Caenorhabditis elegans: one gene and its partner. The protein of the gene in region 1 interacts with the protein of each later gene in a pairwise test. Each region holds a gene or a part of one and is shown on either strand. Other genes may lie near its edges.

Evidence for each region.
Region 2: the proteins of K04F10.7 (region 1) and B0507.1 interact in a two-hybrid assay, tested with the Caenorhabditis elegans proteins (one large-scale study listed by BioGRID).

The regions. Positions count from the first base shown.
Region 1 is NC_003279.8:6,364,560-6,368,841, reverse strand, and holds K04F10.7 (Protein FAM76A), read right to left. Parts: upstream 2,512-4,282; 5' UTR 2,365-2,511; coding exon 2,300-2,364; intron 2,244-2,299; coding exon 2,195-2,243; intron 2,140-2,194; coding exon 1,990-2,139; intron 1,917-1,989; coding exon 1,437-1,916; intron 1,391-1,436; coding exon 1,253-1,390; 3' UTR 764-1,252; downstream 1-763. Other genes in the region: ZC308.4 (F-box domain-containing protein), read right to left, coding at 1-41, 94-409, 466-536; K04F10.1 (AXH domain-containing protein), read right to left, coding at 2,665-2,751, 2,802-2,945, 2,988-3,101, 3,155-3,574, 3,639-3,773.
Region 2 is NC_003283.11:8,774,735-8,780,133, forward strand, and holds B0507.1 (EB domain-containing protein), read left to right. Parts: upstream 1-1,835; 5' UTR 1,836-1,850; exon of another isoform or gene 1,851-1,896; intron 1,897-1,910; 5' UTR 1,911-1,925; coding exon 1,926-2,102; intron 2,103-2,165; coding exon 2,166-2,385; intron 2,386-2,539; coding exon 2,540-3,025; intron 3,026-3,109; coding exon 3,110-3,534; intron 3,535-3,585; coding exon 3,586-3,949; intron 3,950-4,248; coding exon 4,249-4,424; 3' UTR 4,425-4,584; downstream 4,585-5,399. Other genes in the region: B0507.2 (BRO1 domain-containing protein BROX homolog), read left to right, coding at 125-1,073, 1,538-1,627.

The DNA of each region.
Region 1 (4,282 bases):
ATTTTTAGGCTTTGAAGGTTTCGAAATGGACTGTCACTTTCCTGAAATGTAATTTATAATCAACAAGAATAATCGAAAAATGAATTCACAAACCCTGAGTTTGACATGCTGAACAATTCGTTGTGAAGCGGCCAGGTAATAATGAAAATATCTTCTGATTATTGACTTATCATTCGAGAATCTCACAAGTTCCGGGGCCAACAAACATTTGATTTTCACTTGATCCATGTTCTCATCGTATTCAAAAATATATTCAATTGACTCCACCTTCAAAATTCCTGATCCTACTTCTATTGGTCCTTCTTCACTGATTGCTCCGTAATCCTGAGAGAATGACATAGTCTTCAGTGAATAGTCTAATCGACTGTGAATTGATCGAAATTCTGGAGAAACTTTCGAAAGCTCCATTCTATAAAAAAATGTAATGCTTCACTGTTTTTAATCAGAAAAAAAAAATTAACGAACCTCTTACTGTAACTGAGATATGGGACGATTTTTAACAAATTCGGATACTGGAGAACACGTTCGGTGGTCATGATGAAGATTCAAAAGTTTAGAAATCACAAAAAATAAGCATTTCCATCTCTTCATTAGTACGCAGTTGAAATTATGTTTCCGCAATCGTCGCGCCTGCGCCCGTAGGTCAAAAAAGATTCCAGAGATGTCGCGTAATCAGGTCTACTTTAAATTTAAAACATAGTTCTCCTGTAATTTTGCCATAAAGCGTATGTATTATGCTATAGATTTAAAAACAGTCAAGGCTATACGAGAACAGTTTATTGTATGAAAAATTCAAAGACTCGAAAAAAAGACTAATCTCAAAAAAAGTAAAATTTAAAAAAAACATGTTACAGACTTGTAGAAAAATTATCTCACAGATTATCAAACTAGACAGGCATTGATGACAGTGACAGAAAATGGGTACACTATAACAAATTTAGTAGGTTAATAGAAGTAGCTACGTCCAAAGATTGTAATTAGAAGACGAGTGAAAGGGATGCCGGGTCAACCGGGGAGAGCGATAGGGGGAAGGTGCACTTTGGATCAAATTGAAGTAAATATTAGGTGAATAATACAATGAAAAGATAATTTCATTTTAAAAAAGATATTAGCTCACGAACCAAATATTAATTTTTGATTTAAAACTCGAACACAAAATTTCGAAATATGGCATGAAGAATTGATTTTCAATTATGAAAACTGGTAGCTTAATAAAAATAGTTACAAGGAATAGTTTTATATTCAATTGACATCAGTTCCTCTTAGAACTTTTCGAATTTCGCATTTGTTCGATTGCTCGAATACTGTCTTCTTTTTCTTTGATAAGTTGTTGGACACGTTCGCGATGCTTTTTATCCAGATTGTATTGGTCGGCTTTTAAATTGCTGATCTGAAATGTTTCAATCAATAATCTAAAACTGGAATATAAATCATACTTGTTTATCCTTATCAAAAATAAGTTGATCTTTTTCAGCGAGCAATGTTTTCAGTCGGCGAATCTCGTCTTCCATTTTCTGTTGCTTCACCATACTCTCTCCGGGATCACGATCTCCGAATGGAGGGAATCCATTTCCATTTTCATTGTTTGGAACTAGAGGTGGAGCTCCACCAGACGAAGATGTTCCGTTGTTACTGTTATTATTGGGCTCTTCTTGGTGTCGCCGTTTGTGAGCATGACGATGATTGGAATCGCGGTGATGATGTTTGTCGTCTCGTCGATGATGGTCTTTATGATCTCGATGATGATGAGATGTTGGACGGTGTTGACGATGATCTCGATCTCTCTGCTCTGTTGAGGATCCTTCTCCTGATCTTTCTGGCTTCTCAGGTGGCACTGGAATTCCTGCTACAACGGTTTGATTCGTATGACGAGCTTGTAAAATGCACAATCGACAGAGCAATGCAGCACCTTCGACCTGGAAAACATGAAATTAAAATTTGTTGGTGATAAGGCAAAAGGGGGAACAAGAAAATTTAAAACGATCTCACCTTATCACTTTCTCTTCTTGGAAATGCACAACTCAATTTACAATTAGCACATGGGAACGGGTTTCCGAACTTTCTTTCTGCATGTGAACACCACACACATTTTTGGTCGTGAAAAGCAGCATTCAGTTTACAATATTGACATGTTCCGGGCTAAAACGATAAAAATTACATTAAATCGACATGAAAATTAAACTTTTACACTCACCTTTCCGTATTTTGCCTCATTCTTCTGACATTTTTGGCATTGAGCTGTGCTGAAAATTTATAATTATAGTTTTTCATTTGAAAAATCCAGAAAAAGTGTACTTACTTAATGGCGTCTTCAGGAAGTGCTACACGACAATTAAAACACTTTTTAAGAATCGGACCAGGCATTTTCAAGAGAACTCGAGCGAGTCGAGTTTTTTTCAAACAAATCGGTTAATATCGGTTACCGTCGAACACCGAAAATGCAGCAGAGAAATAAAGAAATAGAGACCAGTCACAAGCGTCAGCGTTGCAGCGAGACAAGAAAAGAGTGCAGACACCCTCACGTCACAATGCACATCAAACCACATAGTTGACGCGCAGCATTCCTCAATTGTAGAGACAATTTTGTTCCGAGAATTGTAAGCCTTTGGGTATGATTATTTCGAACATTTATTAGTAGAGAATATATAAAAACATAACATTAAATTATTCCGAGATCCTTCTTTCGCGATGTTCGTTCGAAAAAGTCACCAAAACTCTCTCCGGTGGTGCTGAAACTCGGCCAGAAACTCGCTGAAATAATAAAAATACAGTACCTATACAGTAACTTATCCCATGTATACCTCATAATAAACATCAACAAGTTGTTCTTTGAGTGCCGCCCGCTGGCTGAATAACTCTAAATCTCGTTCTGCAGTTACGATATCAACAGCACAGTCAGTTATTTTGTCTTCATTTCGTGTCAACACAATACACACATCATCTACCTGAGAATATTGAAATTGGGAGAAATTGCAACAACTGGTTACCTGGAGAATTTCACAATCCAAACCATAGTTCTCGCCACTTTTCCGAGGATTACAGCTGCACCAACCTTTCCCTAATACAAAGAATGGGTGCTCGACTTGACACTTCAATGGTATCTGGAACAACCGTTGATATATTCTCAGAAATTACAAAATTATTTAGTTATTACTAGTTGTTTCTCAATTCCAGTTTCAAAAATAATAGTAACACTTCCAGCTGTTGATTTAATAGATTTGATCACAGAAGCATTGACAATAACATCATCTGATTCTGCAGCACATCTGAGAAAGTCATCAGATGACAAATCTTCCACTTTTTTGATATTTCCATTTGCCACGTTGAGTTGAGTACCACGCATGAAATGTGTAGGATAATAAGTGGAAGCTGGGATTGTGCCCATTTCAAATGCTATTGATGGTTCAGATGTTGATGGTTGTGGATCAGGTTCTTCAGTTTTGATATGTGGTGCAGTATCTTCAGTTGCAACTTCCACGGGGTAAGACGTTGTTGGCAAAAGAGCCGGGGTTAGTGGTGTAACAGTGATTGGAGGAGGAAGTGGAGGTAGAAAATGAAATGCTTGAGGTACAGGCTGAAAGCATCAGAATCTCAGTTTATTCAAATTTCAATTTAATAAATAATCGCTGTAAACGTACTGGCAACTGTCCTATTGTTGAATTTGTGCCAAGAAGAAAATTGGCAGGATTCCATAAGTTTACATTTCCAGTCTGACTTGCAAGTAACAGTTGTACCAAATCGGGATTGAGAACCTGATTTGGAGCGAAATTCATTATTTTGATACAATAAAATACGTGCAATTCGTTACCGGAGTCGATTGATTAAACAAGTTCATTCTTATCTATCGATTTATGAACAAAAAATGATGGCTTTATCAGTTTGGCTAGAATTGTGTATTTCTTGTGTGATAAGAGAAAGAAATGTACGTATAGAATACTTGTGAAAATAAATGCAATAAACGCGTCAAGTAGAGCTTATTGACGCTATTTTGGTCGCTTGCAGAAACGTTTCACTTCTCTTGGTCGGGGTGCGCACGGAAATTAAGATTTGAAAATTTGAAATTTAAGGAATTGTGCGTATTTTTTGTGTCAGAATAACTAATTTCACTCCAAATCACGTCTCTTATCCCGATTTGGAACAACATGCTACTTTCAAGTCAGACTGGAAATGTAAACTTATGGATTCTGCCAATTTTATTCTTGGCTCAAATTCAACAATAGGGCAGTTGCCATTATGTTTACATCAATTATTTGTTAAATTTAAATTTGAATAAACTGAGATT
Region 2 (5,399 bases), on another chromosome or scaffold:
CAAAAATTACTATACTTTTGGTTTACCAGTTTTGATTGATTTTTAACCATTCCTTTTTACAAACAAATTTTTTAAAGAAAATACTTTCCAAATTAAACATTATTTAAAGTACGCTCTTTATCAGGGAAAACAAGGACGCAGGCAACAAAAACAGCAAACTAATTCCACTGATCCGCTTCAAATGGGGTAACTCAATGCTTCCACAAGCCGCCACAGAAGTTTCGGATACTTGGTTTGAAGCTCTCAGTATGATTCAATGTATGGCAATGTGGCTCACAAAGCATGCTGCGTCGATGGCTGGAAAGGATGAGGTACGAGAATCTGATGCAAAGGAATGTCTTCAGTGTTTGAGACAAGCAGGTGGAATGTTCCAATATGTGAAAGATGAATCATCACGACTTTCCGGTGCCAATGAAGTTGAAGGCTCAGATTTTGATCCGAAAGTTATGGAAACGTATATTTTGACTGCCACAGCAGAAGCACAAGAGGTCATTGTAGCTAGAGCTATTGAAATGAAACATGATGATGGATTAATCTCATCGCTTGCTGCTGTAACTGCATCGATATTCTCAAAAGCTGATCAATGCCTGAATAATTTGCCTGATGAGAGTTTTGCGAGATGGAGAAGATATCTGCAATTGAAGCATCATTTCTATTTGGCGTATGCTTTTGCCTTCCTCGGACAGAAACAACTATCAGAGGATAAATGTGGAGAAGCTGTGAGAGCTTGTAAGCAAGGAATTGCTGAGTATGGAGTTGCTAAAGAAATGGCAGCAATGTATGCAACTGCAACTGGTCCTGGAACTCGTATCAAGCCTGAGCAACACTTGTTCTTCAGAAGAATCGAGCCATTGCTCAATCGACATTTGGAAAAAGCGGAGCGAGAAAATGGATTCATCTATCATCAAAAAGTTCCAGATGAGATTCCTCAATTGGATGTAGAAGCAACATATGGATTGGCTAAACTTGATTCGTTTACCTATCCTCCACCAGCGGAATCATGGAATACGGCAGTTTATTCCGCTTTTGATTTGTCCAAAGCAAATATGCCAGATTTTTCAAAAATTAAAAAGGTAGGCGCGTCGATTTTTTAAAAACTAAATTAAACTAATTACATAACAAATATTTTGAGTTCTGGAAAAACGTGTTTCAATTTGAAACGCTCAATTTTTATTTCCGTTCTTGCCTTCTAAAGTAAAAATTGGATATAAATTCAAAAACAGCAAATTCAAAAATTGAGCGTTTACCAAAAATACAATTTTGACAATAAAATCCGTTCAAAAAAAGCGAAAACATGCAATTTCCGTTAGTTTGATCTAAAAAAAACAACAGATAATTTGAACAGTATACGGATTTATCAAATGTTAACACATTTACAAGGAAATTTTTTTTCATTTTTCATTTCCAAAAAATCTAGGAAACATTCGAATTTGTCATACTAAAACTCCTTTAAATTTCTTCCTTAAAACATTCGACTTAAAAAATGCATTTATTAAAAAGAATAAAGCATTTAAACTGTTGTAATCACTAATTTCAGAGCAAGTCAAAGCTTGATCCAGTTCACGAGGAGAAAATCTACCAAACAGAAAAGGATCCCAGCAATTCCAGTGGATGTGTGATTGCCTAATAATTCGAGTCTTTGTACATTACTGTTCTTCACTATTTTATTTTTAAACATTTCCATTTCCCCTTACAACCATGCCCATTTGTATGCAATGTTTCCAATTTTAGCTGCACGCGTTCTCATTGATGCTGGATGATATACATAAAAATGTACATGTTGTTGACACGATTGAAGACAGTGACCAAATATAACGGTCAGTTGAGCATGCGGCTGAATCAACCAACAGGTGTGCCAACATTCAAAGGGCGGTCCTTTGGGGCAGATCGGATATAGCTGGAGATTTTAGTTTCAGTCAGTAGCAATGCGATCCCGTCGGCTAGTCATCCTGTCAATTTTGTTATTTCTCATTGGAGTTGTCAGCGCTAGAACAGCGTCTGGAAGAGGATGTACTCATTCAATGCAATGTGGTAGAGGATTCTTCTGTCAAGAAGGCGCTTGTAGGAAAGATTCGTGTTCCAATGATTTACAATGTGACGAGGTATCGTTTTTTTTTAACTTCTAAGTATTAAAATGCGCGGAGATTCATTTAAACGTATTCTAGGGTGAAGAGTGTCGCCCTGGCAATGTTAACGGACGACAGAAATCCGGATGCTTCAAGTCACTTGTCCCGAAATCGGCATTGGGAGGAACATCGGAAGATTTTTGTCCAGGAGGAGGTGCACTTGTCCTCTCTCCTACTGGAACTCTGACAATCTGCGATTTGACTGAAGACTGCCCATCAACTCACATCTGTAATCCAGTGCATGGAGTTTGTTGTACAAGTAAGAAATCGTATTGATTATAAAATTCTCGTTGGAAAAAAAAGGGACCACGTTTTCAATAAAACGTAAATATTTCAGGACATGGTTATTCATTTTGAAAAATTAAATGAGGATCCTCATTATCAAATTAACCGGTAAAATTTACATTCTTCAGAACTACCAACCTGTCCAAAAACTAAGAAAACCATGGTTAACTTCATAACTGGCAAACCTATTATGTGCCAATTCAAACAAGGAAGAGTAATGCCATGCCCTGAGAATGGTTTCTGTGAGACTACAACTGGATTCTGCTGCGTCCCAGGTGTAGATGTTGAGCCCCCAGTCGTCGTTACCCGTGCACCAGCAATCATTGAAAATGAACGTCCGTGGCGAGGACAAGTGTGCTCTCCACAATCTGGATGTTCTGGTGGAGCAGCTTGTATCTGTGGAGCCCGTGGAAATTGTATGTGTGAGTGTGCCACAGACTTTGGATACACACTTGCTTCCGATGGAAAAACTTGTCAAAGAGTTAGAAGACGTCTGAAAGAAAAGTGTAAGACTGATATGGAATGCTCTGCTGCATTTTCAGAATGCTCTTCAGGAGGATGTAGATGTAAGAGAGGTTTCAAGAGAAATGGTGATGGAGGTTGTGAACCCCTTGGTGAGTTTTTTTCAGCACAAATGTTTTTATCAATTAGATATCAATCAAACTTCATTGAAACTAGTTCATCTCAGAAAATTGCAGAGTACCGATGTGTCAACAAAGCAGCTCCCCTAAAACGAGATGAAAAGCTTATCACATGCTCTCTCAAAAACTCTCTTCTTTCGAGTGTCTCCACCAGTTTCAGAAGCCTGAAAAAGTCAGAAAATGGAAGTGATATTAACGATGCCGAATTTGAACGTCTAATGAAAGGAATTCAAAATGGAACTCTTTTGGATTTTGGAAATGAAAGAGATGATTGTCCAGATGAGCATTATTGTGTTCCTGTGTTCGATGATGCAAGTAAACCCGGTTATTATAAGGGATTTTGTTGTCCGTCTCCATCCGAAATTCGCCCAACATGCCCTGTGGGAGAACCACATGAATCGTCATATCCTCCAGACTATGGATGTAACAAATGTCCCGTAGATTATTACTGTCATAGGGATTCTGTAGCCACCGAGAAATCTGTATGGTTTTCAAAATCTCAAACCCCTTTGAAAGAATATCTAAAATTTCAGATTTGCTGTCCAAAGCCTTGTGTTTCACTCGAAGACATCTACCACGAAGGCCAGTGCTTTTCAATGGCGTACTATGGAGACAGCTGTCACATTTCGTCGCAATGCGTCTACTCAAAGAGTCCCGACGCCGCCGAAGAGTACGCTGAAGTTGCAAAAATGGAATGTGCCAGAAGTATTTGTTCGTGTCCAGCAGGTTTCAGTTATGCTGACGGACAGTGCAAAAGAATTATGTGCTCAATTGGCCTAAGAGGAGAACCATCAGTAGACAAGTCAGGGCAATTAATTCGTTGTGAGAGATCCAGTGATTGTAGTATGGGTCATATGTGTGATCCAAATACCCATGTTTGCTGCAAGGGAACTAACAGTAAGTGACTTCCAAGGAAATTTTATTTTGAAAAATTGTTCAATGCATTCCTTCTTGAAATCAGTATATGAATATCTGTTTCAGTTATCACAAGATTAACTAGCTTTGCAAAAGTGCAAACAATAATTAGAGTTATTTTATAATTCTGCTGCCACAACACCCTTATCAAATTACAAACTATAATCATAGAAAGCAGAAAACTAATGACATATTTTTGGGATTTTTCTGTAAATCCATAAATTGTTCTACCAATGTCTAAATTTTTAGAGATCTTCATTTTTATTGAATTATTACTTCAGGATGTCCAAAGGATTATGTTGAGACCGGAGAGCAATGCACAGATGACAATTGTCGTGGAATAAACCAAATCTGTCACCGAACCAAAAATGGCAAAGCCAAAATCTGTTGCACTTATGATGATGTGACAATGTCTGCCATGCGGGATGCCCTGAATTCAACAACAATGAATCTGTAAACTACATTCGCTTTGTAAAATCCCTTCTCTATATTGTTCACCCCTCGTTTTCCAACTCTTCTTGTTTGTACATTTTGGACGTGCTTCCCTTTTCTTTTTCCTCTTTTCACCAGTAGCCACCAACACCACCACCTCTTTAATAAATCCTTACATGACTCTCTTCTCGTCGTGTGCCATCCTCCACATTTGCTTCTTGTATCCTGTTGCTCTTCCTCATCGTCGTCATAGCGACTGGAGAGGATTCTGGAGAGAGGAAGCTGAAAAGGAGAGCGGACACACTTGGAAAATACGGATGAATGAGTAATCAGGGATGAATAGTGGATGAATGGCCAAGGGGAAGGCCAAAATGTCCTCTGTCTTTATCATGAATTCTTCTGAAGAAACCTGAAAAGCAGTGCTTCTAATAAACGGACCAATTCGTGACATGACCCTTAAAAATATTTTTCTGATGTTGTCGGTGGTGACATCTTCTCGGAACCCCCTGTGGCCGAGAGTGAATAAATTAGAGAAGAAGAAGACGAAGATGGCTTGTTGGAAGACGGGACGAAAACGAAAAAAAAAGAAGCGGAGGAGAGGAGGGCTTTTCGAATTCTGGAGCTCTTTTTCGCCTTCTCAACTACACACTCGTCATTTAGTGGTGAGGAGATGGAAATAGGGGGAATGAAGTCATCGTTTTGGTGGTCGTCGAGATGGAAGAAGAAGGCCATCTTTCCTGGAATGGACGAAAGTGAGCTAAAGTGAAAGAGCTCGGCTTTCAGTTTTTTTGTTGAACGATGGTGAAGCCATTCTGTGAGAAATACCTTCTGCCATTTTTAAAGTTTACATGAACGCTTACATTTTGAATATTTCAATCTTCAAACAGTTCAAACAAAACTTCAATCTTAGAGTCGCTAATGATAGTTATCTTATAAACAATTTGGACGTCCAAGGAATTTTTGATTCCCAAATATAAGTTATAACCGTGTTATAAGAGTA